Nothobranchius furzeri: one gene and its partner. The protein of the gene in region 2 binds, or shares a complex with, the protein of the main gene of each other region. Links are inferred from orthologs where the notes say so. Each region holds a gene or a part of one and is shown on either strand. Other genes may lie near its edges.

What was found.
Region 1: supv3l1 (region 2) and pnpt1 share a complex: the UniProt entries of both Homo sapiens proteins name them as parts of the mitochondrial degradosome (mtEXO) complex. The link is inferred for Nothobranchius furzeri from reciprocal best matches to the Homo sapiens genes SUPV3L1 and PNPT1.

The regions. Positions count from the first base shown.
Region 1 is NC_091752.1:26,270,341-26,286,892, reverse strand, and holds the start of pnpt1 (polyribonucleotide nucleotidyltransferase 1, mitochondrial), read left to right. Parts: upstream 1-7,456; 5' UTR 7,457-7,574; coding exon 7,575-7,693; intron 7,694-7,825; coding exon 7,826-7,886; intron 7,887-8,214; coding exon 8,215-8,289; intron 8,290-8,476; coding exon 8,477-8,582; intron 8,583-8,678; coding exon 8,679-8,728; intron 8,729-8,828; coding exon 8,829-8,892; intron 8,893-8,978; coding exon 8,979-9,026; intron 9,027-9,132; coding exon 9,133-9,246; intron 9,247-10,584; coding exon 10,585-10,771; intron 10,772-10,863; coding exon 10,864-10,915; intron 10,916-10,986; coding exon 10,987-11,044; intron 11,045-11,132; coding exon 11,133-11,229; intron 11,230-11,321; coding exon 11,322-11,424; intron 11,425-12,783; coding exon 12,784-12,854; intron 12,855-13,407; coding exon 13,408-13,444; intron 13,445-13,559; coding exon 13,560-13,626; intron 13,627-13,703; coding exon 13,704-13,793; intron 13,794-13,885; coding exon 13,886-13,939; intron 13,940-16,552. Other genes in the region: ccdc88ab (girdin), read right to left, coding at 2,260-2,360, 2,456-2,518. UniProt on the Homo sapiens protein: RNA-binding protein implicated in numerous RNA metabolic processes. Catalyzes the phosphorolysis of single-stranded polyribonucleotides processively in the 3'-to-5' direction. Mitochondrial intermembrane factor with RNA-processing exoribonulease activity.
Region 2 is NC_091749.1:53,790,156-53,806,707, reverse strand, and holds supv3l1 (ATP-dependent RNA helicase SUPV3L1, mitochondrial), read right to left. Parts: upstream 12,906-16,552; 5' UTR 12,767-12,905; coding exon 12,505-12,766; intron 12,371-12,504; coding exon 12,293-12,370; intron 12,215-12,292; coding exon 12,107-12,214; intron 12,012-12,106; coding exon 11,897-12,011; intron 11,771-11,896; coding exon 11,602-11,770; intron 11,363-11,601; coding exon 11,251-11,362; intron 9,493-11,250; coding exon 9,415-9,492; intron 9,323-9,414; coding exon 9,231-9,322; intron 9,142-9,230; coding exon 8,961-9,141; intron 8,871-8,960; coding exon 8,777-8,870; intron 8,666-8,776; coding exon 8,546-8,665; intron 8,460-8,545; coding exon 8,360-8,459; intron 8,293-8,359; coding exon 8,212-8,292; intron 7,760-8,211; coding exon 7,583-7,759; intron 7,472-7,582; coding exon 7,323-7,471; intron 7,192-7,322; coding exon 6,792-7,191; 3' UTR 6,260-6,791; downstream 1-6,259. Other genes in the region: hexokinase HKDC1, read right to left, coding at 148-381, 457-612, 689-873, 2,862-2,960, 3,105-3,200, 3,299-3,421, 3,504-3,661, 3,762-3,924 and 1 more. UniProt on the Homo sapiens protein: Major helicase player in mitochondrial RNA metabolism. Component of the mitochondrial degradosome (mtEXO) complex, that degrades 3' overhang double-stranded RNA with a 3'-to-5' directionality in an ATP-dependent manner.

The DNA of each region.
Region 1 (16,552 bases), on a different chromosome or scaffold from region 2:
TAAATTTTTTTTTATGTATTTTTGTCTCAGAATTGACACACAGCAACCGATTGTGGGTAATACAAGTCTTCATCAGTGCAGACTTTAACAAAGTGCAGAGCAAAGCTGCATAAAGGGGTGGGGCCAAGATCCACTGTGGAGAATTAGGACACCCTTTGCATTTGCACCAGGGGCACCAGAGTGGAAGTGTGAGTATTGGGACAGGGTCTTAGCGCCATCACGGTTGCTAGGCAAAAAGACATTATGCTGCAGTGGGGACGGCAATAAATATGAAAGCTAGACCAAATTCACAGCCGCTCAATTCAAGTCTTGGTGATCGAGGAAGGTCTTGACCTATGTGGACTGTGTAGACGAGGACCAACAAGAAGTCTACCCCTGGATTCAATAGTCAGTTGTAGATGCTCATTCACTGATCACTTTTTGTGAGTTTCAATTAAAACCCATCCAGTGAATCATGACATTTTGCTAAAGAACAGACAAAAACATTGTCTGCACTTCACCTGTCAGCAGCAGGGGATGAAAATGTCTCAGCAGCAGATGTAGATGTGTAAACAAATGATATATCCGTCACTGAGACCCATTTCTCATTAAGTGAGAAAACAGACAAAGACCAGTGACACAAACACAAGCTCTGACCAGTACTGTAGTGCTTTGTGTGTGGGAGGGTGGCTGGGCTAGACGACTACCAACAGCTGCCTCAGTCCATAACCAAATGTGCAAGGAAAAAAAATCCACAAACACACATACTCCCACACACACTCAAAAGCCTCGGAGATATCCATGCACAGAAGCACAGTGTTGGCTGTGACTACCAATCCCCAACATCCTGTCAGACAAACCACGGTTCATTTCAGTTCACTTCTAGCCACCTTTTAAGCACCACTGCACATAAGCACAGAGATCCTACAGCGTATCTGGGTAGCACATATTCATTTGTAAACCCCAGACTTGTCTTTTTCATGTCAAAGGTTATTGTCCTTTGGTTTTTCCATCTTGCTTCATTCTCCAACCCTTCCCCCATATCCTTCCAGTTGCTTACCCATTACCCAATGTTCCACTGGGGAAAATGCACTGGAAATACAGTTTTTACTCTTTCACACAGAGTAAACGAGGAAAGCTCTAAACCTAAAAACTGCTTTCCTAAACATGATTCTATTTGGAGCCGGCGAGAGACTAGAAGCACTCAGGAGTAGAACCAAATCACTGGAGAGGGAGATGGAAGAGGTTGTTGAAACTTGAGGCAGCTTATAGCAAACGGACAATCGGAGAGCTCAAAACAAGTGTCCTCTTAATTGTCCTGTCAAGTTATTATTGCTATAAATGTGACTTGTTACAATAATAAGCATGTTTTTTGTACGTAAACTGTTCTCACTCTTTAAAAAGGCATAAGATCAATCAACTATATGTTCTACAAATACATTAGATATGAGGTTGTCTCGGCTCAAACCAATGGGAGGAAACACGAGATGTGCTGCACATAAATCCCTTTTAAACCTATTCATCAGGGAGCAGGCAAAACTGAATGCTCCTTAAACTGGCAAGCAGGGGAAAAGCTGACAGGAGAGTCTGGCATTAGTGGAAATATGGAAAAAAAAATGTATTTTAACAGATCATGCTGGCAGGAAGTGGCAACCTGCAGCCAGACAAAGAAGTAGAAATCTTTCTCCTGTCATGCCACATATAGAAACGGTCTCAGGAAAGAGACAAATTCGACATGCAGTCCTTCACAAATCCAGCACTGTCAGTAGATCTTACAAATAAGCTACATTTTCTTTAATTAGATAAAAATAAAACGTGCTCTTGTTTCCCTGCACCATCCAAGTTAAAATTTTCATGCATGGTGTGTGTGCTGGGAAGAGTGTTTCTCCTTAGGATTAATCAACAACACAGCAGGGTGCAGCTTCAAGGGAATGAGTCTAGTTTTCTGCTGAGGCATGCTGCATCCATGCAGCTGACACCGGTGTACACAAGCTCAAAAGACATCTTAAGTGTTAATATATCTGACCCACTCCCACCAACACAGGGTCCTCTTTGTGAGCAGCCTCCATTCAGCTCAACTGGACAGAGGCTGCTGTCTCGTGTAAGGATGACCATCATTTTAACCCTCCTCCACTATAATAACAATAAAACATGGACTGTAGGTTGTTGCACATCTCTGGTTTGATGTCTGCATGCCCTCAATTGGCTAATTCCGTGCCTCTATGTAGGCCAGCTCAGAGGACTGACCGGTTCGGCTCTCCAACTCTCAGATTTACTTACATCTCCAGCATGAACTCGTTCAGGTAAATCCCATCCACTAATTCCATATATTCCGATAATTTACTGCCATCGCTCACTGTCGACCGCCCGACGGTCTTCACCTGGAAAAAGAAAGGAGTGCGATCAATTAACAGGCGAAATAAGGTGATTGTTTAATGAGTCAACACTCATTAGCATATTTAATTAGGGTGCTTACCCAGCAGACCAGAGGGGTGAGCATGAACTGCTCCAGTAATGGGGTGAAAACCTCGTTCTCCATATTTAACCTTCAGCCGTTTGTTCAAACAAATTGGGATTTTTAAAAAATGATTTAAACTCCTCTCATGTTGATAATTCCACGTTTTAATCCAGGCTTTACTTTACGAGGATTTAAAAAATAATAATAATCACTAATTTTCTCAAACCGACCCAGCTGTTGGAGATGCCGCCGACGAGACTTCTTCCTGGGTGGGAGAAGAAGAAATCACATTTTTGTGCTCAAAAACCGCATTCCCTTAAGGTTTTCTGTTATTTAAGGATCAGTCCGCGTTGCGTTCAATATTTAAACGACGAAAAGAGATGAGAAATAATCCTAATTCGGGTATGTAAAAGAAGGTCCAGCTGCGAGGGAAAAATAAACAGATGTTGCAAATCCAGCTTCGGAAATGATCGGGTTCCACCTCATAGTTTTTTGTTGTTGTTGTTTTTTTAAATAAAGTGACTTCCAGACGCGGATTCCTGGCTGTCTGCGTCCAAACGCCGCACACCACCGAGCTGCTGCTGGAGAGTTGAGAGGATGACTGGAGGACACGTAGAGCCGCGCCTCCCTCCCTGCGCATCTCCCTCCTCCTCCCAAAGAAAAGTAGGGCATTAATCAAAGCGTTCCCTTTCTCCTCTGATTTCCTCTGAGTCATAGAAAAAAGATCTTAGTCAACATGTGAACAAACAAATAAAATAAATTCACTCATGTTTGAGTGCGAGTAATGGAACCACTTTGTCTCAAAAGAAAAGTGAATGAAAACTCCAATCTTGTGATTCATAACCTCAGTGTGTAATACTGACTATTTAAGTGCTTATTTGGTTTAACTTCCACGCAGAAATGCAGGGTAACAGTGCATAAATGCACTTCCTTTGTCTGCCTCTGCAGCATGCATTAGACATCATAATGGAGGTAAAATACTGACACCTGGTGGGTTATGTCACAGATCACTATATAAACATCTAAAAAAAAAAAAAAGGTTGAAAATATTCAGATCCTTAGAAGGGGTCTGTGGGGATGTTGAATAATGCATTTCCTGTTCCAGATGGTTCTTTAACAACCTCAGTTTGGGGAAATAGAGAATGAGGCCCAATCCCAATACTCGCACTGTGCCCTTCTGTGAAGTGTGCTTGGAAGAAGTGCACAGCAAGGCTTCGAGTGTGTGGTGCACAAGTGTGCAAATGATTGCAGAATTTGGACAGGGAGCATTGCGTCATCAACCGTCTGCTGGTCACTGTGCTACTTAAAAAAACTTCATTAACTCATTAACTGCCATTGACGACAAAAGTCATCATTTTAAATCCAACTGCCAGTGACGACTAAAGTCATCATTTGCATTTTTTTACTGTGTGGGCGTAGGAATGAGCCCCCGCAACGTGAAAACAAACATCTCAGCTCGCTGATCTTCATCTGTGTATGTCACACATCACATGATCAGGAATTAGAAAATCCATGTGTTAGGAGATCTTTTTGGGCCGCTGCTGTAAAGAAAAAGGCACGAACCGTAAAAGCTTCACAATTCAACAACGGATTATGAAAGAACGAACAGCGCTCGAAACACGCAGATTCATCCTGATGTAAGAAGTGAGTCTACTCTTTGTTTTGGTAGTTTTGACGTTGACATCACCCTAGTGCGCAACGTTCTATGACTCTTAAAAATACAGTGAAAATGCTGAAAAACGCCGGCAGCAACGGGCTTTTCTGATCAGGAAACGGGAGGCAATGAATGAGTGAACCAAACAAATATTTGACAAAATTTACATTCATTGCTATCCACATTAAATCTTTGTCTAAAACATTCAGAGCATCAATTAATCGTCCTAAAATGAACGACTTTCCTAATAAAATACATGTTTTCAGAAAAGGCATTTGAGCCTTTGCTCCCACAGCAATGGATTGTGGGTAATTGAGAATCGGGGCACCCTACGCACTCACACCCCTGGCTGGGATTGTGCAATTGAAGGGCACAAGTGTGGAAGTGCGAATATTGGGATTAGGCCTAGCACATGAAGATGTTCTGGTCAGCCATTTTTCAGAGCACATTTTAGTCCCTAGATCAGGGGTATTCAATTCCAGGCCCAGAAAGCCGGTAGCCGCACGTTTCAGTTGTTCCTCTGCTCCAACACACTTGATTCAGTGGTTGAGTCAACTGTGCAGCAGCTCATCAGGCTCTGCAGAAGCCTGTTGATCACTCGCTGATTGAAATCAGGTGTGTTGAAGCAGGGTTAAAACTAAAATGTGCTGGATACCGGCCCTCCAGGTCCGTAATTAAATACCCCTGCCCAAAATGGTACTAAAGCATTTGTCAAGCCTCCCAAATAAAACACCATGGTTGCTCCATAACCTGAGGGTTGCGGGTTCAAGCTCAGCTTAGTCTGTCGCAGTCGTTGTGTCCTTGGGCAAGACACTTCACTGCATTTGGCAGTCTTCTCTCCTGTCAGTGTTCCCCAGGGCAGCTGGAACATGTGACTCCTACTATTTAATAAAAAAAAGTAACGCATAAAAACACTTGGAGTGAATAAGATAACTCACTGGTGAACAAATTAAACTGAAGACTGAGTTTGTGTTTATTGAATAAACTCCTATAACAGGAAGTCCCAGTCATGCAGATGCTAAATACAGATTTTAAGACAACACCAGCAGAAAGGTCATGTGATCTAATTAATAAATGGCTATTGCTGGAGCAGTGATCATGTGGTCAAATAACCTATTAAAATGTAATGACTGGTTCAGATATGAGAAATAAAGAATTGCTCTGGAATCTGATCAGAAATAAAGAATAAGGATTTGGATGGAACTTTAAAATACTTTCAGCAATCCGTGTTTGTAAAGTAATGGTTTATTCCCATTTTTAATCAGGCTAATGGGTGCTGTTGTTAGTGCTTTTTAGAGCATTTAGCAGACTCGTTGTTTTTTGAGAATCAAGAGAATTGATCTGACATATCAGAAAGTTATATGCTCATGTTTATAAGGTTTATGTAAATTAGTAATTTATTTCAAACCTTTTCTGAAGAAACCCATGCTCTTTTCTTCTAACCCCATCATCTCAGCAGACCACTAAACCCTGACGCACATAATGAAAATCTTTTATGGCTGCTTCCCCACACACAGCAGCCTGAACGTGACCATTTTCTGCTCTGCCACTGTTGAGACATTGTTTGAGTTTCCCTTAAGCTTGGGTTGTTTCTGATTGTGTGTTAGCATTTATGTGCATTGGTGGAGTTTATTGCCCTTGAACTGAACGGGGGTGTTCATTCCTTCCTCATTAGTATCTGGGATTCATGCTGCCATTTGGGAGTTTTGTCACAAAGCGGCACTGACTTTTACCTGATGACTCAGTTAGTTGGCATTCTTTATTATTATAACCACAGTAATACTCATAGAAAGGCATTCTCTTCTCCTATATGTTAAGTTTGTCAATTAAAACTATTATTTCTGAGGCATCACTCACTGAGGAACCAGATTACCACAAAGTCCTGCAGACAGTTTCACAAAAATGTGCGATTTATCACAAACATTTCTATTTGTGGTTCAAACTAGAACAGAAATTTCTTCTGAAAATTCAGCCCACAAAACTCTTCCTTAAAGTCGTGTATGTTTTTCTGGTTGTGTAAAATTCCATACAACAAGAATGCACAGTCACAATTCTTGTGTTACTGCAGGAAAACCATTCAGCCCAGGAAAAAATTGACTGGTCCTTTACACAGTTTAATATCCCACTGCTCTGCTTGATTCAAATAAGTTGTTACTGTGTCCCTGGAAAAAAAGAGACAATACTGTGACAGCTCTTGGTAATAATAGGAATGAGAGGTTGTGTGCGTCATACTCAGTGTGCAAGTGAAGCCGTGCTGTTTTCCTCTGCAATTAGCTGCCAAATGTGTGTGTGTGTGTGTGTGTGTGTGTGTGTGTGTGTGTGTGTGTGTGTGTGTGTGTGTGTGTGTGTGTGTGTGTGTGTGTGTGTGCGTGTGTGCGTGTGTGTGTGTGTGTGTGCGTGTGTGTGTGTGTGTTCCACTTAGAGCTAGGAATTGGATGCTGTTAATACTCATCTGTTGTCATAACAACTGCTGGAAGCCCACTTTTAGAGGGATTGCTCCGTGACTGGAGGTTGTTTGCTGGAAAATTAACTTCCAGAATGGGTGAAAATTTTCAAGGGAAGCTCACTGAAAAGCTGACAGACACAATGAGAAACAGTTCCTTGCTGATATCTCAAAGCTAACAGCAATTGAGATTGTAATATCTTGCTCTGCTTGAGCAAAGCCTAATCTGACTGGATGTGTGATAGCTGAAGCACATTTTATTCTTGTGATCTTGTGTCGCAATAGATGTGTTTTTATAATATCCTGACACCTGTTGGAGAAAACTTTATGTTACGTAAAACTGTTTTTGTGTGACCCACCCCACATTGCTTAGTCTACATGACCTTGCCTTTTTTAGTATCATTTTTTATTTTCTGTAAAATCTTTATAATTGGATTATTTTAAAGCAATTTTAAAAAATGTTAAATAAGAGTAAGATGTGTATTTTATTTTCCGGAGTAATGGTGTAAAATAACAATTAACATATAAAAGCCTTCTAAATTAGAAAAGGGGAAACTATGGTTAGATTTTCATGAATAAGTGAAATGGCAGTAGAACCATTCTGAATTTTAATTGTAAGCAAACTGCCCAAAATAAATGTTATATTCTAATGGAACAAATAGAGCTAAAAATGACAGGATTTGAAAGAAAATATGCATTAATCTTTATATTTTAGATCCACTTTTGAATCCACACCTGCAAAAATACGAATTTTTGCGCTTTTGTTAATTTATAAAGTAATTTACAAAGCATATCATAGCGTTTCTCTTTTTATATATATTATTCGTAATCTTCACAGGAACTACATACAAGCGAAGTAGCACCGACGGGGTTTTGCTGTAACGCACGTTCTCTCATCCGACCAATCAGAAGATGCGGCATCTTGACGTAATTCCGTCCATTTGACCGACTGTCATGGAAGCCCTCGTGCATGAATGTAAACCGTGTGACTGCTCTGTTTAAAAGCGGGAGCGTTTCTTTTGTGTTTTATTCCGGTAAATATGAGGTGTTTGCTCCGACTGGGCCGCTCGTTCGGCCACCTTCGGGTCCGGTTATGTCACCAGAGTGTTTACAGCAGGAACACAAACCTCCGGAGAGTGGGAGTGAACCTTGGAGAGAAGTAAGATTCGTTTCTCTGACATTCTCTGATCCGACCAGACTCTGTGTGATTTTCATCTAAGATTGTTTATATGCAGGATGCGCAGAACTGGGTTTGTCTCAAAGGTATTTAAGTCTGATTTTGCTTTTGTAGAAAACTTGAAATCTCTTCGGGGAAGTTTGCAAGGTTTGCTGATGGTGCTGCTGTGGTACAGGTAAGTCCAAAAGATGCTCTTTGTCATTGCTCATTCATCTTCCTATTTTAATCTCAACGGTGAAGTATGTGGTATATATTGTTGAGTAATATATGTAATATTGAAATGTCTTCTCTTGGGTCCCTTTTTCCTCTTCCAATATTTTTGCTGCTTTTTCCTGTGATTTATCGTTATACAAGAAGATTTTTAAAAAAGCGTATTTAGATATTTTTGTTTTGAGTTGTTTTGGCCATTTTGAAATCAAGTCATTGTATGATTTAACATATGTAAATGAAGTTTATTGAGTGGTTTCCATAGTAACTGCCTCTACCTTCCCCTCTCCCTTTAGCTGGGGGACACCTCTGTGATGGTGACTGCTGTGAGCAAAACCAAACCTTCTCCATCTCAGTTCATGCCACTTGTGGTAAGGTCCCATCCGTGTTTTTATGACAGCGTGAATCTGTTATCACCGTGCTTATTTTTTACTGCGTATGTTCCAGCTACATGAGGTCTAAGAGGATTTTACTGAAACTGTAAGCCTTAGGACTTGAGTGGTGTCACAAAATGCTTCTTATGTGCCGTGTGAGTGAATGTATGCTTTGTTTTGGCAGGTGGATTACAGACAGAAGGCTGCTGCTGCAGGTCGAATCCCAACCAACTATTTGAGGAGAGAACTAGGCACCACTGATAATGAGATCCTCACCAGCAGACTCATCGGTGAGCTGAAAATGAAACTTTTGCTGCTCTTCTTCTTTATAATGGTAACGTAGAGTCAAAATTTTTAACTGACCTCTTCATGTCTCTGTTGATCAGATCGGTCGATTAGACCTCTTTTCCCTCCTGGCTACTTTTATGACACTCAGGTAAATTCATATTTTAAAAGTTTGAATGTATCATGTAGTTTTGTTTTTGAACAAACATGACAGTCAGGATTTCTTGAAAATATTTTCATCTCTTCTAAAGGTCCTTTGTAACCTCCTCGCAGTTGATGGTGTAAATGACCCAGACGTGCTAGCTATTAATGCAGGTAAGAATACACCTTATTGCTTTACGTTTCCTAATACGTACGGTGCTTTAAATTTTTAGTTGACGTGTTATTTTCTCTCATTGAAGCTTCTGCTGCTCTGGCTCTGTCTGACATCCCTTGGAATGGCCCCATAGGTAATAAAACAACTTTGAAATGCATTTCTCCTAATATCTTCCATCTTCTTTACCTATTTGAGTTTACATGACTTTGTTTGAATTGTGACTTCTCGTGTGTTTCCAGGTGCTGTACGAGTTGGTATGGTTAATGGAGAGTTACTGGTGAACCCGACAAGGACAGAGATGGCTTCCAGCAGTTTGAACATGATTGTGGCTGGGGCTCCTAGCAGTCAAGTGGGTAAGGATGCAAAAATACCCACTCCACTAGTAGTAGTAGTAGTAGTAGTATTAGTAGTAGTATTGTAGTAGCATTGCAGCTTATTAAGAATGCTGCTGCTTGATAACCAAGCACATCGCCCGGTTCTTAAATCTCCACTCTGGTTACCAGTAAACTACAGAATTTATTGTAAAGTACTTCTACTAGTTTATAAATGACTCTGTGGCATGGGGCCAAATTGCATGTCTGATGTCCTTCCGGACGGACCTGGTACCAGGTTCACAAGCACTTCCAGCAACAAAGTTGTTCAAAAAACATGCTTAATATTCACCAATATATGTCAACTGCACACGTACTTAACAGGAAGAGGCTCATCTAAATGATAAAATCCATGTTTTCTACCTCAACTTCACCAAATTCACAAAATGACGCTAAGTAGAAAGCAAAACAATGCTAATTTAATGAAGTCAAAAACATAAATTCAGTCTTGCCTTTGCTGGTTTATGGTCATAATAATCCGTGTTATAGTGAAAAAATCCACTTTGTTTGTGTAATCCTATCACTCAATGTCCCACTGACCTGATTGCTGACTGTTTTTGGGCTGTTTTATATGCTGGAGAGTGTTTACAAGTCTCCAATGCTACATTCCACCATTTTCTGGTTGTCCATAATAAAAAAACTCAATGAGGGCTTCTCAGCTGCTCCACAACAAACAAAGAGCAGTGAGCTAAAAACAAACCAAAAAAATGGTGAACTGTGGAGAGCTTCTGGTCCCAGGTGAACATCCTGATCTGTGGATTGGGAAGCAGACCAAAGCGGGAGCTTTAGTGGTCCAATCCCCGGACAAGGAAACTGGCTATTGAGACATGGAATATCACCTCTCTGGAGCTGGAGGTTGTGGAAGAGGCTGAGTAGTACCGGCTAGATAAAGTCAGACTCACAGTTCTTGAGACGAGTTGGACTCTTTTCTTTGTTGTAGTTACTCCAGGTGAGAGGCGGAGGGCGGTGGTTGGCTTTCAGTTAGCCCCCAAACTCTCAGCCTGTATGTTGGAGTTTACCCCAGGGGTCAAGAGGGTCGCTTCCCTTCCCCTTCAGGTCAGAGAACAGGTCTTGTCTGTTGTTTTTACTTATGCGCTGAATACCGATGCAGAGTACTGTTGTTTTTGGAGTCCCTGGGATGAGTGCTAGATGATGCTTTGACTGGGGACTCCATTGTCCTGATGGGGGACTTCAATGCTCACGTGGGCAATGACAGCATGACCTGGAGGGACGTGATTGGAGGAATGGCCCGCATTCTGAGTACCTTTATTTTCCAGCTTTGCACGTTTCTAATCAGTTTGTCTTCTACGTGTGTTCCAGTGATGATTGAGGCATCGGCTGAGAACGTTCTGCAGCAGGACTTCTGCCGTGCGGTAAAGGTGGGAGTCAAACACACCCAGCAGATCATACTGGCCATCCAGCAGCTGGTGCGGGAGCAGAAAGTCATCAAACGCACGCCAGTCAGAATGTTCTCAGTCCCGACTGACATGGTGGAACACGTCCAGAAGTAAGAACACATGCACAGTGGTTTTCTGTTGTTTAAATGTGATAAAGATGGCAGAAGGGGGTAGTAAAACATGTTATTTTATCTTCCTTTAGATTGGTGTCTGAGAAGATCCATGCTGTTTTCACAGATTACTCGCATGATAAGGTAAAGCTTGGAATCCATTTTGTTTGTTCAAATTAAAAAAATGTTCATGAATGATTCTAATCTTGTTTTAGATTTCGAGAGACGAAGCGATTAACAAAATACGACTAGAAACTGAGGAGAACTTTAAAGGTGGGAAACCCTTAGTATTTATTTTAAAGCCACTACTTTTACCTAATCATATATATAAAAGTTATAATTGATGTTTTTGTGTGTGAAGAAAAATTCCCTCAGGCGGAGCCCTTTGAAGTCATTGAATCATTCAATGCTGTGAACAAAGAAGTTTTCCGAAATTTAGTTCTCAGTGAGTACAAGAGGTACGTTTGTCTGTACAGGATTTCCAGAAAAATCTCAACGCTTCATTTCAAAACGTGACTTGTGTAAACGTTTTTTCCCCGTTTTTTTAAAGGTGTGATGGAAGGGAACTGACGTCTTTAAGGAACATATCCTGTGACATTGACCTCTTCAAGCCGCTCCATGGCTCAGCTTTGTTTCAGAGAGGACAGACACAGGTTTGTAAAAACATCATTTCAATCAATTGTTGTTTTTTTTAAGATGGCTTAAGCCAGAGCTATTCAAGGGCTGGTATCCAGCACGTTTTTTTTTTTGGTTTGGTTTTTTTTTCTCTTTTTATTTCATTCAAAATAAAAACAAATAAGACATATAAACAATAAGAAATACATAACAAAAAAAAAAAATAAAATTTGAACGAAAAGGAGCAGAATGAAGAAAAACATCTTATAGTTTCTGCCCCCTTTTCCAGAAGAAATAATCAATTTATATACAATTTCCATTTGTCCGACACACATACAGATTCATTTTAAACTTTTTCCTGTTCTAAATTCCAGTGCGATCATGATCATTGATTTAATTTACATTTTCATAATTATTTAGTACACTCAACTTGGTACATTTTTTGAATATATTAAATGACAGAGTGTTTTAATTTCCCTTTTAAGGTTATTCCATAATTTAACACCATTTACAGATATATTCCATTCCTTAATTTTAGTTCTAAATCCAGGTTTTGTAAACACATCAGTTTCTTTCAGCATGTAATTACTACTTCTCTTTTCAAATATCCCCTGAATGTTTGTTGGCAGAGTACCTAAATTGGCTTTATACATGGTTTGTATGATTTTCCAGTCTTTTAAATCATGAAATTTCAGTAATTTATATTTAATAAACAATGGGTTCACTGGATCTCTACAGCCACTATAACTGATGATTCTCAGAGCTCTTCTGTAAAATAAATAAGGGTTATGTATAGTTTTTGTATGTTTCTCCCCAGATTTCTACACAATAAGTCAAGTATGGAACAATCAGTGACTTGTACAATGCCAACAAACAAGAATTAGTCAGTAAAAACTTGACTCTGTGTAATACTCCTAAGGATTTGGCAATTTTACCTTTTATGTAACTAATATGGGATTTCCATGTCAACTCTTCATCAATAAGAACTCCAAGAAATTTAGTTTATTTTACTCTTTGAATTTCAATCCCATCATTTTAGTTTTAACCCTGCTTCTACACACCTGATTTCAATCAGCAGGTGATTAACAGACTTCTGCAGAGCCTGATGAGCTGCTGCACATGTGATTCAACCACTGACTCAAGTGTGTTGGAGCATAGGAACAACTGAAACGTGCTGGATACTGGCCCGAAGTTGAATAGCCCTGGCTTAAGCTATTAGAACCCCGACATTTTGGCGACCACGAAAGGACCTTTGATCTTTCAGGCTCCAACAATGCCATGTTTTATTAGAAAAGAGAAACGGCTCTAAAACTAATGGAAAAAAAAAGAGCTTGTTGCATCTAAAAGCCATTTTAAATAAAAATGTATGTATCTTTATGGTCTTGCACATCCTGTAGGTGCTCTGCAGTGTTACATTTGACTCCCTGGAATCAAGTGTCAAAACAGACATTATAACCACTGCTCTCAGGTGACGTAAATTCATTTGTTTATAAAGTTAATGATCACTAGCTAATATTACTGACTTCCATCTGTTTGAACAGGAATTCTAATTACATGTTTTAATGAAAACATTTTGCTAAGTCAACATGTTCAGTACTTAAACATCCTACAATATTTCTCCGTTTGCTGATGATACCACAATATATTTGTACTAACCATCTGCTGTAAAACACACCTCAGTTAAATCAAGGCGTTCTAAAGGGCAGTGTTTAATAAAGTAAACTCAAACAGTTTTATTTACAACAAATCTATCAATCTAAGTGACTCATGGGTTTGATTGTGATAAATCTGTTTTTTAGTATTATGTGATGCAATGTAATCTGTATATGCTTAATGGGAGTGGGAAGAAAAGTAGCTAACGTAGCATGCTGTGTTAGCTAACAGGGATCAAAACAAATAAAACACTGTTTTGAATTTATGGAAATTTAAACTTTAAGCCACTAACATTTTCATTTTCATTGTATATTTTATACAGATTAGGAATAATTTAGTAATTTGATCACTATTTTTTTCCTCTGCAGTGGCATCAAAGACAAAAACTTTATGCTTCATTATGAGGTGAGTAAATGCTGTTGTCCTTTTCTCTGAAAAACCGAAGGAAAAAATATGATTTTTCTGTTTTTAGACATTTGTTCTCAAATTATCTTTAAAAATCAGGTGGTTTTGATTTCAGTTCCCTCCTTATGCAACAAACGAGACTGGGAAAATGGGAGGTCTCAACAGGAGAGAGCTTGGGCATGGTTTGTTTGCATTCATATCCTTATATGTATCTCCCACAAGCAACACCACCAGTGAAAGTGTTTTTGTGTGTTTGCAGGAGCTCTGGCTGAGAAGGCTCTTAGACCGGTCATTCCTACAGATTTCCCTTTCACCATCAGGGTCACAGCAGAGGTGCTGGAGTCCAACGGTCAGTGTTGAGATGCCAAGTGTTTTTGTAAACAATCCCGTAAATGTCTGCGTATTAAGACCAGACATCATCTCTTCTTCTCCTTCTCCCAGGATCCTCCTCGATGGCTTCAGCGTGTGGAGGCAGCCTTGCTCTAATGGATGCAGGTACAAAAATGGGAATGCTCTAGATCAGTGATTCTGGTGGGTCCTCCTGACCCAAAATTGGGCCGCGGAGCCGATTTTAGTGAGTTATGGCTCTTTACCAGGGCAAAAAAATTTTTTAATGAGACATGCAGTTTTATTTTGAAGGGGAACTTTTTGTCCCTTGGCCTGAATTGCAGTCTGTTCCCACTCCTCTGCAGCAGGTGGTGATAGGGGGTGCTAATTGCTTCCCGCATTTTACAACACAAAGTAGGACACAATGGTACTCAACTGTAGCACTTTTATTTTAACATTTGTACATGTACATGAATATGTAGACGCTAGCGATGTCCCGATCAGGTTGTTTGCCCTCGAGTCTGAGTCATTTGATTTTGAGAATCTGGCGATACCGAGTCCCGATCTGAGACTTTCGATACATAAAAAAATAAATTAATTAATTAAGAAAAGGAAGAAACTGTTCCAGAATGTTCCTTATTTTTTATTTTTGGGTGGCAGACTGAGGCGGGAGCCTTGGCGGTCCGATCCCCGGACAAGGAAACTGGTTTTTGGGACATGGAACGTCACCTCGCTGGCGGAGAAGGAGCAGGAGCTTGTGGCAGAGGTTGAGCAGTACTGGCTATATAGCCGGACTCACCTCGACACATAGCATTGGCTCTGGAACCCAAGTCCTTGAGAGGGGTTGGACACTCTCCTTTGGTGGAGTTGCTCCGGGTGAGAGGCGGAGGGCTGGGGTTGGCTTTTTGTTAGCCCCAAGACTCTCTGCCTGTGTGTTGGAGTTTACCCCGGGGGACGAGAGGGTAGCTTCCCTGTGCCTTCGGGTTGGGGAATGGGTCCTGACTGTTGTTTGTGCTTATGGGCCAAATATCAGTTCAGAGTACCCACCCTTTTTGGAGTCCCTGGGAAAAGTGCTAGATAGTGCTCCATTAGGGGGCTCCATTGTCCTGCTGGGGGACTTCAATACTCACGTGGGCAATGACAGCATGATCTGGAGGGGTGTGATTGAGAGGAACTGATCTGCGAGAGCCTGATCTGAATTCGAGTGGTGTTTTGTTATTGGACTTCTGTGCAAGCCGCAGTTTGGCCATAACGAACACCATGTTCGAACATAAGGATGCCCATCGGTACACATGGTACCAGGGCAGCCTAGGTCGCAGGTCGATGATAGACTTTGTAGCCGTATCATCTGACCTGTGGCCGTATGTTTTGGATACCCGAGTGAAGAGAGGAGCGGAGCTGTCAACTGATCACCACCTGGTGGTGAGTTGGATCAGATGGCAGGGGAAGATGCCGCGTTGACCTGGCAGACCCAAACGCATGGTGAGGGTCTGCTGGGAATGCCTGGCAGAGGAACCTGTCAAGACGGTCTTCAACCCCCACCTCCAGCAGAGCTTTGAACACGTCCCGAGAGCAGTGGGGGACATTGACTCCGAGTGGGCCTTGTTCCACTCTGCGATTGTTGAGGCGGCTGTTGCTAGCTGTGGTCGCAAGGTGGCCGGTGCCAGTCGTGGTGGCAATCCCCGTACCCACTGGTGGACACCAGAGGTTCAGGGAGCCATCAGGCTGAAGGAGGCCTACAGGGTGTGGCTGATCTGTGGGTCTCCGGAGGCAGCAGACCGGTACCGGATAGCCAAGCGAGGTGCAGCAGTGGCAGTTGCCGAGGCAAAATCTCGAACGTGGGAGGAGTTTGGTGAGACCATGGAGAAAGACTATCGATCGGCTCCAAAGAGGTTCTGGCAAACTGTCTGGAGCCTCAGGAGAGGAAGGCAGCAACTCGCTCACACTGTTTACAATGGGGATGGGGAGCTGCTGACGTCAACTGGGGGTATAGTCAAATGGTGGAAGGAATACTTTGAGGAGCTCCTCAATCCCACCTACGCACATTCCAAGGAGGAACCAGTGCCAGGAGACCTGGGGATGGACTGTCCAATCTCGGGGGCAGAAGTTGCTGAGGTAGTCAAACAACTACACAGCGGTGGAGCCCCGGGGGTGGATGAGATTCATCCTGGGTATCTCAAGGCAATGGATGTTGTAGGGCTGTCATGGTTGACACGTCTCTGCCACATTGCGTGGTCATCAGGGGCAGTTCCTGTGGAGTGGCAGACCGTGGTGGTGGTCCCCATCTTTAAGAAGGGTGACCTGAGGGTAGGGCTGCAACAACGAATCGATAAATTCGATGAAAATAGATTACTGAAAGCGTTGGCAACGAATTGCGTCATCGATTTGTTGTGTTGCGCAACTCTTCCAAAAGCCCCCCCCCCCCCCCCCCCCGGCCACCGTTGCGCACAGACCGGATGCAAGTCAGATCAGTGCGAGGGAGAGCCGGCAGGTGTTCGGAAGAGGAACATGGCAGAAGCAGCAAGACCCAAAAAAGTAAAAACTTCTAAAGTTTGGGAGCATTTTCAGTTAAATCAGGCGAAGACATTCGTTACCTGCAACGTTTGTAGGTCAGACTTAGCATGGCACGGGAGTACTACAGTGATGATGCAGCATCTTAAACGCAAGCAAGTCAGAATCATCAGCGAGGAAGGGGAGAGCTCTGTGTCCGGGTAAGTTAAAAACTTTTCAAAAGTGATTCACCCAAGCCCCGGATTATTACACAGGCTAGACATGCCCTAA
Region 2 (16,552 bases):
ACAAAACGTGATGTGCTTTACATTTTATGTTCTAGCAAGCTGTTTCAGATATTAAACTCAAAAGATTTAAATGAAAAAAAAACACTAAGAGAGCTAGAAATGCCAAATTGCATTATGCAAACAAGAGAACAGAGTTAAACAGCTTACTGCGGGTGTGTTTTGTACACGGTACCATCCACACCTACGGTGATTCTCAGCGCTCCCATATTACGGTTTTGCCTGATTCGAGTCAAGATGGCAGCCAGTCCTGCAGCCACCAGATTAGAGGACCTGAAGGACACGATGGTGCTGACATGTTGAACAGCGATGCAGTCGTCATCTGATGGGTTCAAATCAAGCTCATCTAGAACATCTTTGGTGTTTTTAAGACCGTTTCTGTACCTAGGAAAGAAAATTAGTACTAACAATTTTTAAACAGAAACAGAAAAGATGATCTCCCTTTTGGTTTTTACTCACTCATCCATTGCTGCAACATCTGCAGTGGTTATCTTCCCTTTGGTCCTCAGAGCATCTGACACACGTCCATCAAACAGCTTTCCTAGTTTGGCCATCTTTAACACAACCAGCCTCACCAGCTCCCCCAGGTGCATCCCACTGACCATCTTCTCAAATCTGCAGATTAAAGAAAAAGTCAGAAGGAAAGGAGACACGGCACGAGAACATGAGAAAAGAAATCTGTTTCCCAAACATTTGTTTTCCTGGGTTGCTGGAAGCTGCGTCCACCTCCCTGTCAAACTCAGTTAGGAAATCCTTCAGGGCTCCATCATCTCCAAATGAACCCCACTCAGTGTTCACACACATCCGCCCCTCATCTCCCTCCACCAGGTCGATGTGACGAAGTTCCTCCATGTAGCAGGCGTTGGTGCCGGTGCCCATGCACATAAAAACACACAAAACACACTCACGGCACAGTGATAACAAAGCCCCTGTTGTCTGCTGCCATGGAGGTTAATATAACTCAGTTTCTCTCTCTCTCTCTCTCTCTCTCTCTCTCTCTCTCTCTCTCTCTCTCTCTCTCTCTCTCTCTCTCTCTCTCTCTCTCTCTCTCTCTCTCTCTCTCTCTCTCTCTCTCTCTCTCTCTCTCTCTCTCTCTCTCTCTCTCTCTCTCTCTCTCTCTCTCTCTCTCTCTCTCTGCAAAACAAATTCCTAATTGCCTGGAAATGTTTATGTTTATGTTTATGTATTTAGCAGATGCTTTTGTCCAAAGCGACTTACAATTGATAATCGGCATATTGCCCTTGAGGCTAACAACAATAGTAACAACAACAAATTGACATCAGTCATGGAGAGGAGGGAGCAAGGAGTGGACAGTAGAGAGGGGGGACGGGTGCAGGCAAGGTGCTAGTTAAGAAGATACTCTCTGAAGAGCAGGGTCTTCAGGAGTTTCTTGAAAATTGAAAAGGAAGCCGCAGTTCTGGTAGTGCTTGGAAGGTCATTCCACATTTGTGGAACGATGCACGAGAAGAGTCTGGATTGTCCTGAGCGTGGTGTAGGCACTGCTAGCCGACGATCCTGTGATGACCGGAGCGGCCGGGCCGAGACGTAAGCCTTTGCAAGAGGATTCAGGTAGATGGGAGCCGTACCTTCTCGGACTTTGTATGCTAGTGTTAGCAATTTGAATTTGATGTGTGCTGCTAGCGGTAGCCAGTGGAGCTCAATGAACAGAGGGGTGACGCGTGCTCTTTTTGGCTGATTGAAGACCAGACGCGCCTCTGCGTTCTGGACCATTTGAAGAGGTCTCACAGTACAGCCTGGAAGACCAGTTAGAAGAGCATTGCAGTAGTCGAGGCGGGAGATGACAGTAGATTGCACCAGGAGCTGGGTGGCATGTTGTGTTAGGTATGGTCTGATCTTTCGTATGTTATACAGCGCAAAGCGGCATGAACGGGCAACAAAGGCAACATGATCTTTAAAGGTCAGGTGTTCATCAATAACAACATCCAGATTTCAAACTGCCTTTGAAGGAGCCAGAGATAGGAAGTCATTTTGCACTGAGATATTGTGCTGTATGGATGGTTTTGCTGGGATGACAAGTAGTTCAGTTTTAGAGAGGTTGAGTTGGAGATGATGGGATTTCATCCATTTTGATATGTCAGAGAGACTGTTTGATATTCGTGCAGAGACAGTGTGGTTGTGACAGATAGAGCTGGGTGTTGTCTGCATAGCAGTGGTAGGAGAAGCCATGTGATCGAATGATCTCACCCAGTGAGGTGGTGTATATGGCAAAGAGAAGAGGTCCTTGTACAGAGCCCTGGAGGACTCCTGTGGCAAGATGGTGCACGGTAGAGGATTGTCCAAGCCAAGATGCACTGAATGATCGTCCTGTGAGGTACAATTCAAACCAGGCGTGTGCTTTCCCTGTGATGCCCATGCTAGAGAGTGTGGACAAATGGAAGCCATGGTTGACAGTGTCAAATGCAGCCGATAAGTCAAGCAGGATAAGCACTGAGGATTTGGCAGTCGCTCTAGCTTCTTTTAAGGATTCAGTCACTGCTAACAGAGCAGTTTCAGTGAGTGGCTCTTTTTGAACCCAGGAAATGTCACACGTTGTTGCAAAATTTGTCAAATGAAATAAAGAAACTACAACAGTTATAACAAAATCAATCATTTCATCAGGGTGGTCGAAGAGACCGCTGGCGCCAGTGCACGACAGCCTTGCTTCCATCAGTGTATAGCTGTGGCTACATTGTAGCTCATAACCACCAGTGCCTGAATGTGTGTGTGTGTTGGTGGATGGGTGAATGACTGGATGTGTTGTAAAGTGCCTTGGGGGGTTGTAGAAACCCTAGAAAGTGCTATAGAAATACAATCTGCTTACCATTTTAAATTTAATGGTGATGTTTTGATTTTCTAAACTCACCAACGATAATTCCCACTTCACAGTACGAGTCATCAAACCCACAGGTCATCATGGTGGCTACGGTGTCATTAACCATTGCTAATATTTCTACATCTAAACCCTGCAAAGGTAAACATGAGAAAACATCACAAAACAGACTAAATCTATGTTTAACGCAGGAAGATCTATTAGAAACAGTACATCCTCGACTAAAACATCAGACTAGTCATCATCAGACCCATGAAAGATGTGGGGGACATCTTACCTCTGTTCTTTCAACAGCTTCTCTGAGAGCCTGGACCACATCTTTCCCCTGAAGGCCTCGAGCCTTGTAGTTCTTGCTCCAGTTCAACAACGTTCCCTAGAGAGTGAAAACAATCCCTTGTAGGGATTAGAAATGACAGGCCTGTGGAGTTTGTTCAGATTATGAAACCGGATGCTGTATGGAGAAGGCTGTACCTGATCCAAACGGGACTGATCGCACGGGAAAGAGAAGGTGAATGCTAAGGGGTGTTTTTTTTCCAGACTGATGTTCTTTTCATGCATGAAATCCTTCAGAGACTCTGACACGTGGTCAAATAACTGCAGATGAGGAGGAGATAAGGCAGTAGAGAAAGTCTGCCTTTTTTAAATCTTAAAATCTATGTGGTTATCCATTTCTGACCTCTGTTGCTCTCCCAGTGAGCAGCTCATCTGGTACTGGATAGATCTTCTCCTCCATCTCCACATCTCCCTTTTTAATGCCCACACATTCTCTTACTTTAACCTGGAGCACCTTAAACTTGGAGCCTCCGAGATCCAGAGCCAGGAACTGACCTTTCTCTGCAAGAAAAAGGAAAAAAGAAAGAAATATTATATAATAGCATAGTTCTGAAATAAACAAAATGCACAAATATCTATGGAAATAAACGTCTCTAATAACCTGATCCATCCGGAGTGGAACAAACGTGAGTTGGCAGCATTTTTACAGCTGCTGCTGCATTGCTTTCTGCAGAAAGCCCCTTCTTCAATTCAGCCTGAAAACGTGCCGAGAGCTCATTCAGCTGGTCATCGTTGAGACGCATGGCATGAAGAAACCGGTCCACCTTAAAAAAAAAAGAAAAAGAGGGAAGAATAAACAGAAAGGAAACGGGTTGCAGGATCTAATTCATGATGCCTTTTTGCGGTTGAAAAAATATATACTGGTTTATGTTTGTAAATAAATACTGGTTCATAAATAAAACATTTTCAAAAAAACAAGTAATTTAAGGAAAATATTGAAATTTTAGGTGATATTTAAATGGTGAATTTGACAAAAAAACATAAATATGAGATTTAAAATAATACAGAAAGTAGACATTTTGGATCAAAAGTGCAGGTGCGTTAATGATAATCAACACAAAAGGGTCTGTTCATTAGTTACGCTTCTACAGACAAATAAGCACAGAAATGGAATGCTTAGATCTGCTTTAAAGTCAGTGATGTTTTAATTCATCTTTACATGCTCATCTTTTTTTTCCCCCCTTTTCATGTTTCATTTCTCAGTTTTGCTCCTTGGCTCAGTCTATGACCACCCTTCCAGCATCTATAGTCCCTGGTTTCTCCAGATCATGTGTACTCCTGGTTATTCTCACAGCAAGTTTGTTTTTTGTAGCAGATTTTTTCTTCCAAAAATAAACAAACAAACAAAAAACAACTCTGGTTTCATTTAATGTCATTTGTGTCTCATTCTCTGTGTCTTGGGTCCACAAAATCCTTACAGATCAGATCCATAAATAAGTTTTATTACGAGGGCCTTAAAACAGATGACTATAAATACGCAATTAACCAAAGTGTGATAACAGGTTTATGAAACAATGTTGGACTGTTCAGTGTTATTAATGCGTGACTATCTGAATTTGACCGTGTGTGTGGATCAGAGCTGGGAGTGTCAGAACTTTGATCTCTGAGGAAGTTAGATCGATCCAAGAGGATGATATTAATCATTACCTAGGACAGAAAAATATGCAATACAGTAACTAATGGTTGCTGCACCTTTCCACAGGACCACCTCGTCTGGTGGTCTTGGTGAAGTTACCATGCAATGTGGTTGTTGAATGTTTTTGACACGCGGCCTGACTGCAACGCTGAGCAGATTAGAATTTGTTTTAATTCTGGATAAATCCAGTTAAAATGCATTTGAGGTCAGTTAGCAGCAAATTCGGTTTTTATTCTTCTTTCAAAAATAAATTAACAAAACTGAACTTTTAAAACATTATAAAAACAAGCAGTTCTTAAAATAGTACAGCAATAAGGTCGATTCCCCATTAGTTACAGAGGGTAATCTCTTTCTAACTTAACTGGTTTTTGCATCCAGAACGAGTCTCACCTTCTTTGTGGGATCCTCCTGAAGTTTGGAGAAGTAGAAAGAAACAAGATGAGCAACAAACATCTTGATCTACAGAACGGACCAGAACAAAAACAGCTGGTTCGAATGGGAGGCTGTGCACCAGTCTGGGAAATAATTTAAAAACAGAAAAATCCTTCGTGTCTTGTCACTGTCTGTTTAGAGTCCACTGAGCGTTGACCAACCTCTGCACCAACTTAATGATTAACAAGCCAAACCCTTCTCATCCTTACAGCCCATCCTCTTTGAAGTCTCACTGAAACGTTTACGGTTTCATCTGGATTTCTTCTGCATAATCTCTTATTTTACACAATGGCCATGCGTAAGAATGATAAAGGCCTATATTTGAGCGAATCTACACAATTCTCTGCATCCGACGACATTTTACAACCACAGCAGGTTCGTTCTATTACACCAGGGGTGGCCAATCCTGTTCCTGGAGGGCCGGTATCCTACATGTTTTAGTTTGAACTCTGTTTCAACACACCTGATTTCAATCAGCAGCTAATTCATAGGCTTCTGCAGAGCCTGATGAGCTGCTGCACAGGTGTTTCAACCACTGAATCACATCTGTTGCAGCAGAAAAACCACAAAACCTGCTGGATGCTGGCCCTCCAGGACCAGGATTGGGCACCCCTGTACACCATCAAAGCCAGTGGCTATATTTATTAAAATAATCAGGTAACACATATAAATTCAATATTTAAGTCACAACTTAATGGAGTTTATATATATTTATATTGTGTGGACACATTTAATGAACCCAGCTTTGTCCCCAGTAGTTATTTATTAAAAACCTCATTACAGGTTAAAGGTAATTACCTCAGCTGACTCCGACCTGATCAAACTTTCTAAGCAATAAGTAGAGGAACTGAAATAATTGGACACAATACTTTTATTTGTATAAATAAAACATAAATTGTAAAATGTTTAAGATAAAAATGATAAATTCAAACCTTAAAACAAATTTTTTACATTAGCTCCAAAGGGTCCAAGTCTTAAATGGGTGGTGGGGGCAGCTCTTCTATCAAACATCATGAATTAAACTGAACAAAAACCTTTAAAATGTTTTATTGACAACTGCTTACATGTACAAAAACAAACATATAACATGTTACGGTTTATGAACAGATGTTCTAAAGAATCTGATTCAAAGTGAGTAAAATAAAAAGTTTGACGCCTCCTTAAATTGTTTTCTAGCTATGGATCAGTCTGGTGTTGCAGTTAAGTCTATTGAAACATTCCTGCTTTCAGTTTGTTACTCGCCAACTGGTCCGTTTCATGACAGGTAATTTTTTCTCCTAAAAAGTGATTCTGTCGACAAAAAAAAAGGAAGAATCACTTTTCAGATACACCCGCTCCTTCATTAGAGACAAACGTAAAAGGAGTGAGGAGGAACCGGAATGACGAGCATCTCCAGCTTGACTCAGTTTGCCCGTGTGCAGGCTAGAGAAGAATAACAAAGATAAAACAACCCAGTAATTGATTCCAGACTGAACTATAATCCAACACGTCTGTATGCTTCATTCCAGATTGTTAGTTCTGTAACCTGTACCTGTTCCAGATTACCACGATGGGGATGTCTCTTCATTTCTTCTTTCTTTTCCCTTTGCTGTTCTTGTTTGTTTGTTCTGAGAGGAGGGCACTCTGACTGCTGCTTTGGGACCACTCCCTCTGCAGCTGTTTGAGCAGATCTGGGGTAAGCAGACCGTCTCTAACCAGACGACTCGCCAGTGAACTGTCTATCCTCCCTTCAGGGCCCCTCTGACCTTTGCCCTTGGTCAAAAAAGTGCTGCCAGTATCTTTTCTGCTGTTCCCTGCTTGGTCGAGCGAGTTGCCGTGCGTCTGCAGCGGGTCGGTGATGTTTGGGTCTGTGGCTCGGATCAGACGGGTGATGTTTCGGACACCCGTCTGGATGACATCATCGAGTTCCCGCTGGATTTCCCGGATTGAGGCTGTATCTGGTAACATATCCATGAAGCGGTAGCTACAACACAGATGTAAAAAAAAAGAGATTAAACCTGCACGTGTTTCTAAAGAAACTTGATCCATGATTATTTATTTAGACATAACAGTATCCATGACAACAAGCAGGGAAATTGAAATGACAACATTTACCTCAACCAGAGGTACAGATCCAACACATCATGAACAGCTTCCAGGTGAACCAGATCTTTGATATTTTTGGGCGCAGCCACAGGCCAGCCGATATGGCGGCAGACCCAGTTAAACGTCAGAGGTTCATCTCGACTGAACTGACGTGCAAACTGAAAAAAGTGAATCACAAAGTTGTTCAGAAAAATGTGTAAAATTACTCAGAATTCCCAAATGTTGCTTCAGGACATCCCTCCTTCAAGTGTGGGTCTAATTCGTCTCACCTTCAGAAATGACGTGCACACAAACGGCTGCTTCTTGTTGATGGGAGCGGTGCAAAAGACGTAGCGCGACCTCAGGTTGAGCGGTATATGCTGGATCATATCAGCCAGAAACTTGAAGTCATCGATGTTGCAGACAAAATACATACCGTCCACCTGAGAGAGGCTGACAAATATGTCCTGGGATGGAAAAAAGGAACAGAACGTAATTTATAAACAATGTGGTTTGGGGTCAAATGCATGAATACAACCATTAGGATAATTTCCTCTTTAACACAGTTTCTTTCAACAATGTTCATGTTGATGAAAAAAACTTCATGCAAATTGAAAACGCAACAAAATTTAGTGCACAAAGACAATAATTCAGTTGTTTAAAAGTCCAATAAGTGCAATGTGATGACTTCTAGTGGCAGGAGTGGTTAACTGCATCCATTCACTTGCAAGGACCACAACATCCTAAAAGAACCTCCCAGGAGCAAGAGCTTCATTCATCCTTCTGAGATAATAAAAGGGTGTGGAAATGGACAGGAGGACAAGCTATGAGTTTTAATCAATTGAAAAAACAGATTCTAACCAAAAAAAACAACCTAACTCAAGTATCAATAAACAACTAGATGCTTTTTTTTACACACCACAAGGTTGGAGAGCGTAGCATCAGGCAGATGATAAGCAAACATCTCAATCTGCTCTGCAGTGGGATGCAGTCCTGCAGTCTGAGACAAACAAGCAGGTTAAACAAAAAGAAACGCATTGGTGTCTTCTTGTGTGTAAAATAATCACCTTTATGGGATCTACAGAGCGGCTGAGGATTTCTTTCAGGACGGGCAGGTCATCTCGATGCATGGTCGTCACCTCTCCCTCTTTGAAAACTGAGGAAAACCTGAAACGGAAAAAGACAAGTATGAAAAATCCTGGAGACAAAAAAAGGCTTGTTGCACTGGGAGTTTTCTTCAACCAGAGACGAACCTTCCTGCTCGGCCTGCGATCTGGAGAGCCTGCGATGTGCTGATGGTCTCCATCTGTTTCTCTCCTTTCTCGTTGACGTTGGGCTTCACTATAGAGTTGAAGATGATTCGTTTTATACTCCTGAGCAGAAGAGAGAGAGACAAATACAGGTCTTACTTTAACTTCCTGTCGTTTTTTTGTAAATAAAATAAAAACGGTGTGGTAATGACTCTTTTTGTTGACAAATCTTACAGGTTAAGGCCCATGCCAATAGCATCTGTAGCAACCAGGATCTTACAGGGGTCATCGGGGTCATTGAACTTCTTGGCCTGTGACAGCTTAGTGCCTGGAATCAATAGTGATCCAATATTATTTTATTAGACTAAAATTATATATGTACAGTGAAATAAACCATTGTGTTCAAAGATGTGTTTACCTGGTGGTAAACTGCCATAAATGACAGCACATTCTAGTCCTCTGGCCTCAATCTGCCTGCTTATAGAGTAAATGTCATTTTTACTGAAGCACACGATGCAGTCTCCTGGCCTCAGGTTGTCTAAAGACTCCACTGCATGGTTCAAGATTGAGAACGGTGTTAAGCGTTCGTAGTTGTGGACCTGAGGATGGATGGGACCATGTTAGAAGGTCTCCTGTGGGCCACCACTGCAGTTTGCATTTCCTGCTCTACAGAGTGTTTCAGTCTCACCTCCACCTCCTCTCCAGTGGTGTACATCAGCTCTCTGATGAAGTCTACAGCTGCAGGTTCCCCACACACGTGGATCTCCTCCGCACACAGGCCTACAAAAACCATTCAGAGTGGTTTAAGTTCAGATCAACTTCAGATGAATTAAATCACGATGCAAACGTGTGTGTTCGGATGTGTTACAAACCCAGCAGCGCTCTGGTCCATGCCCAGCCTCTGGAGGGGTCTCTGATCATTTGGATTTCATCAATTACAGCCACCTCATCTACACACACAAACAATTCTATTTGTGATGTACTAAATGTCACTATTAAAACAGTCAACTATTTTTAACACACACACACACACACACACACACACATGTAGCGTGATGAAGGTTCTCTGATTTGTGCCAAAGGTCACATTTGCCCAGCTGGGTCAAACAGTACTTTGAATCCACAGATTAAAGCCCAAGGAGCCACGATGTCTGCCGAGATCATAACACCAGTATCTGCTGTTCCGGCAGAAGAAGGACACTTCAAGCCACGATGATAATAATTAAATAATAATTAATATTTCATTGATTTTATTACTGTTTAAATAATCATTACCACATGATCACTTTGCTCATTATAAAGGTATCTTAATTACATGAAATGGATTATTATGCTTTGGGTATTATAATGAATTATTATAATGATTAAAGATGTGTTCAGCAAAGATGACCTTCACTGTCAGCTAACACAGAGTTCAGATAACAATAACTGCAGCACATGTTCTTTGACGCATGACCAAGTTTTCTTCCGGAGAGAGAGGGGGAGTGTTCTGAGAGAGTTTGGTAAAATCTAACCATCACAGATTTCACGTCCAGTTCTGGAACCAACACCACGAGGTAAGGAGAAACGGCCGTCTCCTAAGCCTCCACCTGCTGTTCTTGTCACGCTGACAGAATGGCTAAAGAACAAACGAAACTAACGAGCTAAACGAAAGACCCTCCCAGAGTCATTGATTTCTGATGTTAAGTTAAAAGACGAAACGTGCATCTGCCAAACGCTTCGTGCAGCCGTGTGCCCTGCTACCACTGTGGACCAGACAACCGGACACTCGGCGTCTTCTCTGCCAGCCCCGAGTGTCATCTTGGATGAACCCATCCTTCGATGTCAGGATCCACAAAGAGGGTCAGCTGGTTGGGTGAGGTAGAACACGAACATCATTTCATCCAGAACACCTTCCATTCCCTCCAAAAGAAACCTTCTGAACCGCATTCACGCATCCAAAACCCATCATTCTCAATTTTAGCTCCAACCATCACAGGTTTGCTTTTAACAAGTAATATCAAAACTGTTAAGGATTGTCATTAAAATTGCCATTTCTGAATAGTCATTTTTATGATTGTCGTTTCAAATCTTTTAGTTTAAAATTGTTAGTAAATAAATTTCTTCATTTTTAAACTTGCCTCATTATTGAAATGAAACACAGAAACGGGTTGCATTTCCAGTTTATCAAATGAAAAGAATCTTACTGAGTCTTCTGTGTAATAAATAAACTTTTGGGTTATTAATTAAGTCTTAAGTTAATATTTCACACCGCAACACACACACACACACACACACACACACACACACAGACACACACACACACACACACACACACACACACACACACACACACATATGATAAATGATAAAATGACCTACACTACAGTGATACAACACTACAGTGTATCATTCATCCATTCACACACACATTCATACACTGGTGGGGATGAGCTATGATGTAGCCACAGCTGCCCTGGGGCGCACTGACATAAGTGTGATACAAGTACCTGTACCTTCTGGTTTAAAGTTTTCCCCATGATATCACATCTGATTATTAAGATAAGGCTTAAAACATTCCTTTTTGATAAATCCTATAGCTGGTGTTGGCCTGGCTCATCCCTTTAGCTATGCTGCTATAAGCTTAAGACTGCTGGAGGACATAACGACTATAGTATCACACAGATTTAGCATCATCATAACACTTTGTACACATAACGTCCACTTACAGGGTGTGCTGACGCTGCACATCTCAATGGTGCACGCCACGTGTCCAGCTGCTCGACCCTCTGGGTCCACAAAGGTCCTCTCCTCTCCAGTGACTAAATCACATGGTACACTCTGTGAGAGTACAAACAAGCCCAAAGAGTCATTTGTACCCCAACAAAAACAGCAGATCACAGATCAGTGAAAAATATATTGAGACAGGATTATAAAATAAAAATGAGAAATTAACAAACTTAACAAATGCAGGGTTCTTGACAAAATCTTAAATCAAGCACTTTCAGTTTGGGTTTCCAAATAGTAATCCCAATTCTTCTCTATGCTAAACAATAATGAAGAAAATGAAGATTACTCACTGCACTATTGCTCCTCTCAAAGATCTCATGTGCCAGCAGTTTCAGGGGCCCACAGTAAACACCAGACTGCGCAGCGAGGTAGCGCTGGATGGCATGATAGGTTTTCCCACTGTTAGTAGGTCCAGCATGAAAGATCACCTTCCTCTGGATGGCTCGAGCCTCTGGGTACCTGATGCAGATAAAAACACTCATGCAGATTACAATGAAGTCTGAGTATGGCAGATACCTTTGATTATTAGCCACAGAGCTAATTATATTGTATGTAAGGAATGAGGTATGATCTTGTTATTTATACCAGTTTGCAGGAACTCTGAGGTCTGAGATCTTTCTCAGGTCATCCATACAATCCAACATGGGGAATATTTGCTTGGCATGACGCAGGAAGTATGGGAAAATGTCATCAGTATGACCTGGAGGAAATAACAGATTACAGGCAATTAAATATGAATCGTTTACAATCAGTAGGTCACAAAATAAATACAAAATCATCACGTGGGAGGTGTACCTGCACCACAGCAGATGTCATTGAGAATAATGTGCAGATCAGCTGGGAGTGACGTCATCTCCAGGACATATTTTCTAAAGCTGATGAAGGTTTGGTGGAACAGACAAGCTAGAAAAAACATCAGACGTCTGAGAGAAACGTGTGGTCTGATGTAAGTAATATCTTTACAGTGTATTATTTTCTTACCATCTAGACCCTGGTCTGCGGCCAGCTTCTGCATCTCCTTCCTTTTGTAAAACCGGTTCAACATTTTAAGCAGTTCACCTTCAGGCAGAGGTTAAAGAACGGAGATGCACATCAAACACAGCAACGTTGTCAGCAGCAGTTTAATTTTGGCCATTTAACAGCAAATTAGCGTTTTGTCCCAAGAGATGCATAACTTTGATGACCCGACTTACTTTTATCGAGGGGTTGAGTCAGCTCAGCTCCTACACTACCATCATCCAAGGTGTCAGTCTTCAAAGAGACAGGAACAAACAGCGAGGTGTCCGGAGGATTTGATTTTGAGCTATTAGAAGAAACGTTTCTACAGCAAACCACCGAACTAGCTTGATGTTGCCGAAGTAACAAATTACAGCCAGAAGTCACCCGACAGCTCGTCCGAGTGTTTATGTGGCGTTGAAGCCGAGAAAACAAACGCACGAAGCGGTTTACCGACATCTCTGCGGTCGGTTTAAATGAATACACTATCAGCTTTATGGTATTGTATGAAAAAAAGAGTTACTCCCTCGTCCCATAGGTGTAAACTTAAAAATAACACATAAACTCAAACAGAGAACGGTCAACACACTCACTTGCTGCTTGTGATACAACGTGCGGTGAGAAGTCTGCTCGATAATATGCCTGCAAAAAATTCGAAATAAATACATATATTTTTATATATATTTATAAATAATTATTTATGTTAACATTTTACGGCTATATATGAATAAATGAACAATAAATGAGGCTTCTGGTCAAATAATATTGGAAAATGTAGGCAAATATTAAACAGGCATAAATAAAGATGTCTGCAAGTCTGGAGCAAAATCGGCTCGGGGTCCTTCGACTGCCGATGACGTCAAAGTAGCTCGTCAGAAATCTGCTTTACCAACTCGTCCTCAGAGTGCTCTGGTTCATCTAGTTAAAGCTTCTATCGGTTATATAGTTAACCCTAGACTCAAAATATTAGCAGTTGATGGGATAGAAATTTTCAATAAAAATGTAATAATATTTTCCTGAGAAACAAATTAAACAAAACCTCTTATCCAAACCCAATACTCCGATTCTCGTTACTACAAAATTTTTCAAAAGAAGAAATTAAAGTTTTGAGAACCAACTATCTAAAATTCTCTTTACCCCCAAAGTATAAAGAAGTACATTTTAAAACCTTGAATGATATTTACCCATCTAACCATTTTATACAAACCAGATTTAAATTCAATGTGGAAAAATGTTACTTATGCAAACAAAACGATGAATCGACCAAACATCTTTTCTATGAATGTGATCAAATTTTAATGATGTGGAATTCACTCCACAATTGGCTGAACTCCAATCAAATTTATATAAACAATTTCACAGTTGAAGATGTCTTATTTGGCATTATACTAAAAGATAAAAATAATGAATTTCTAATTAATAATCTCATAATCTTAACAAAATTTTTCATACACAAATGCTGATATCTCAAAAATCCACCTACGTGGAATAATCTAAAAAATGAAATTAAACTGCTATTGAGATCCTTGGGTAAAATGTCCACCCCCAATGCTATAAAGCTTTATGAATTCATTATGGACACTAATCTCTAACTGCTTTTTGGATGGTATACACAATAGACCTTGTTTGCTCTTTAACTTCCCCCTTGTAAAACTTTATTTATATACACATAATATGTTTTTTCATGCTGTCTTATTTGTATCCTTTCATGTTCTATTTTTTTGTTGTTGTTTTTGTTTATTGTCTTCTTACTATACCAAGTTGAATTGTATCTACAAAATGCAAGTTGAGATGAACACGAACTTCGGAGCTACTCTGTAATGTCATTCTGCTAACAATTTTTGAAATGTAGTCGCTTTTGTTCGTTTTGCAAAGGTTCAATAAAAGTTCTTAAAAAAACTCGTCCTCAGTGATTATAAACGATCTTTGATTTTTACTTTAGCAATAAAAAAAAACCTTCAAAAAAGTATAAATATATAGATAGATATAAAAAGCAAAGTGATGTTTTTCAAAACCAGTTCAGTATAAATCTGCTTTATTTATAATTTGTTTCAGCTATATATTTTTGGGGTTGGTGTGTGTGCAGGATACACACACTTTCACACGCACACGCTCAAACACACAAGGGCATGAGAAGACAAACATGCAGTAAAGAAGAGATACAGAACATGTTTATAGTGTTTCCTCACAACTTCTGACAGCAATTAAAGTAAGCTCCCCAATCCTACCAGGACAGTATTTATGAAGACAGAAATAATCTGTTAGGGGTGGTGGTGGTGGGGTCGGGTATTGTTTTGAAATAAATTACACCGCCTCCAAACAACAAAAATTGAGATCGATCAACATGAAAGGAAAAAAGGAATTGCAAACCATAGACAAAAATAGCCACACTAAATATATTAGGTTAACTTAAAGTAGTGACATAAGTTGGATAACTCTCAAAAACCAGGTAAGCAGTCTTTGACTCATGTTCAGTTTCAGCACCTTCTCTACATAAAGTGAAGTAAACTGTCCATGAGTCAGAGCTGAAGGCAAACATCACATGGGACTGGTAACAGTGTCTTTAAAGCAGGACCTAGACCACAGGTCTGAGCATCACAGTGGAACATAGATAAGTTTTACAGTATGTGGAAAGTGCATCCTTTCCACTGCATCCAATAGAAGCTAGGAGCTATTTATTACATTATGAAATAAACAAACCATCGGGCTCAATGAGACAAACAATTAAAGAAGAAACACAAAACAGAAAAAACAGACTGGTGATTCCTGATAGCAAGTGTATGGTAGTAACAATCTTGTCTGTGTGTAAACATAGCTGAACATCAAACTAACTCTTTTCTAAAATGTTTGGGAAATAACCCTTTACAATTGAAAGTTGACAGGTTAGTCATGAACAAACAGAAACATAGTATCAAACACAAGGCTTTGTCCCAAAACTTAAGCTGACATCATACCTTAAATACATTTAGGGGAATTCCTGATCAAACTCAAAACATGTTCTATGTCAAATATTTATCGTTACACAAACATGCTGCATGGAACTTAAGCATGTAGGATTTATTATTAAACCGGTCAAATTAGACAAAAACAAAACAGAAGGTTCTTTGAAGGTCACGTCATCACTTCAGTCATTTTTGAAAAAACAAAACTCTAAACTCAAACCATTTCTGCTTTACCAGTTAAAGCGTGCTCTTTTGCCTCTGATGCAGCTTTACATCAAAATACTGTGGTTTCTCAAATCAAAAGGTGGAAATTTAAGAGATGGGTTTTAAGTTTTCTAGATTTCTTCAAGACTCAGTGGGAAAACATGCAAATTTGTTGCACTTAAGTGCCATTTTGATAAACAATGTAAAAAAAGAAAAAAAAAAGAAAGAAAAAGTCCATTTTGGACCAATGTGACTTCAGTTAGATTGTTCTTCTCAAAACATCAAATACAGCATGAGCTTTCTGTTGAGATGAGTATTTCTTGCACTTAATTCCCAAATTAAAGCTAAAATCAAACTAGAAGAAACAATCTGCAAACCGTTGCAACAATCTTAGAGTAAAGGTCAAATGTGAAGATGTTAGGTGTTCAGCTTGGTGAATGACAGCTCACAGTTAGGATATTGTGAGTAAATATAGCATGTGTGTCAACTCATAGCTTGGCCGCTCGCATCTTCAAGTCGATGAAAAAAAAATCCTCACATCTTGAAGTTTCTCATCAAGTAGCTCATCCAGACTCTAGACGCATCTCTACGTCGGTGAAGGAGGAAGGGACGTGAAACAGAAAGTCCAGGAACAAGGCTATTCAGAGCAAACCGGAAAAACTCCTGATACAGAAAACAGAACCAGTGCAGCCATCTTCTTTGTTTCCTCCTCTTTGCTCCTGCTTGCGTTGCATTCAGCCACATGAGACTTTATGGCTTCACTTATGTGTGCTTAAGTGTGTTTTTAGTCTGAGGAGCCAGAATCCAAAATGCTGTCTCACTGTTTATTACTTGGGCTGGTTTGCACTTTTGCTTTGACATTTAGCATCCAGCAGACTTGTTTTCTACGCTCATGTGCATCTGTATGCGTGCGTGTTGGACCAGAAGGAGAGAATGATGGTGGCAGCTCACATCTGAAGCCATGAAATGATGGGGGTGGGGGATCATGGAAGGGGTTGGGAGGTGGGTGCCTGAGGAGAAGTTATGTGTATTGATGTTTGCAGAAACTTCTCAGTCCATGGAGACGGTAAGGAAGCCCTCACACAGCCGGCGTTTCAGC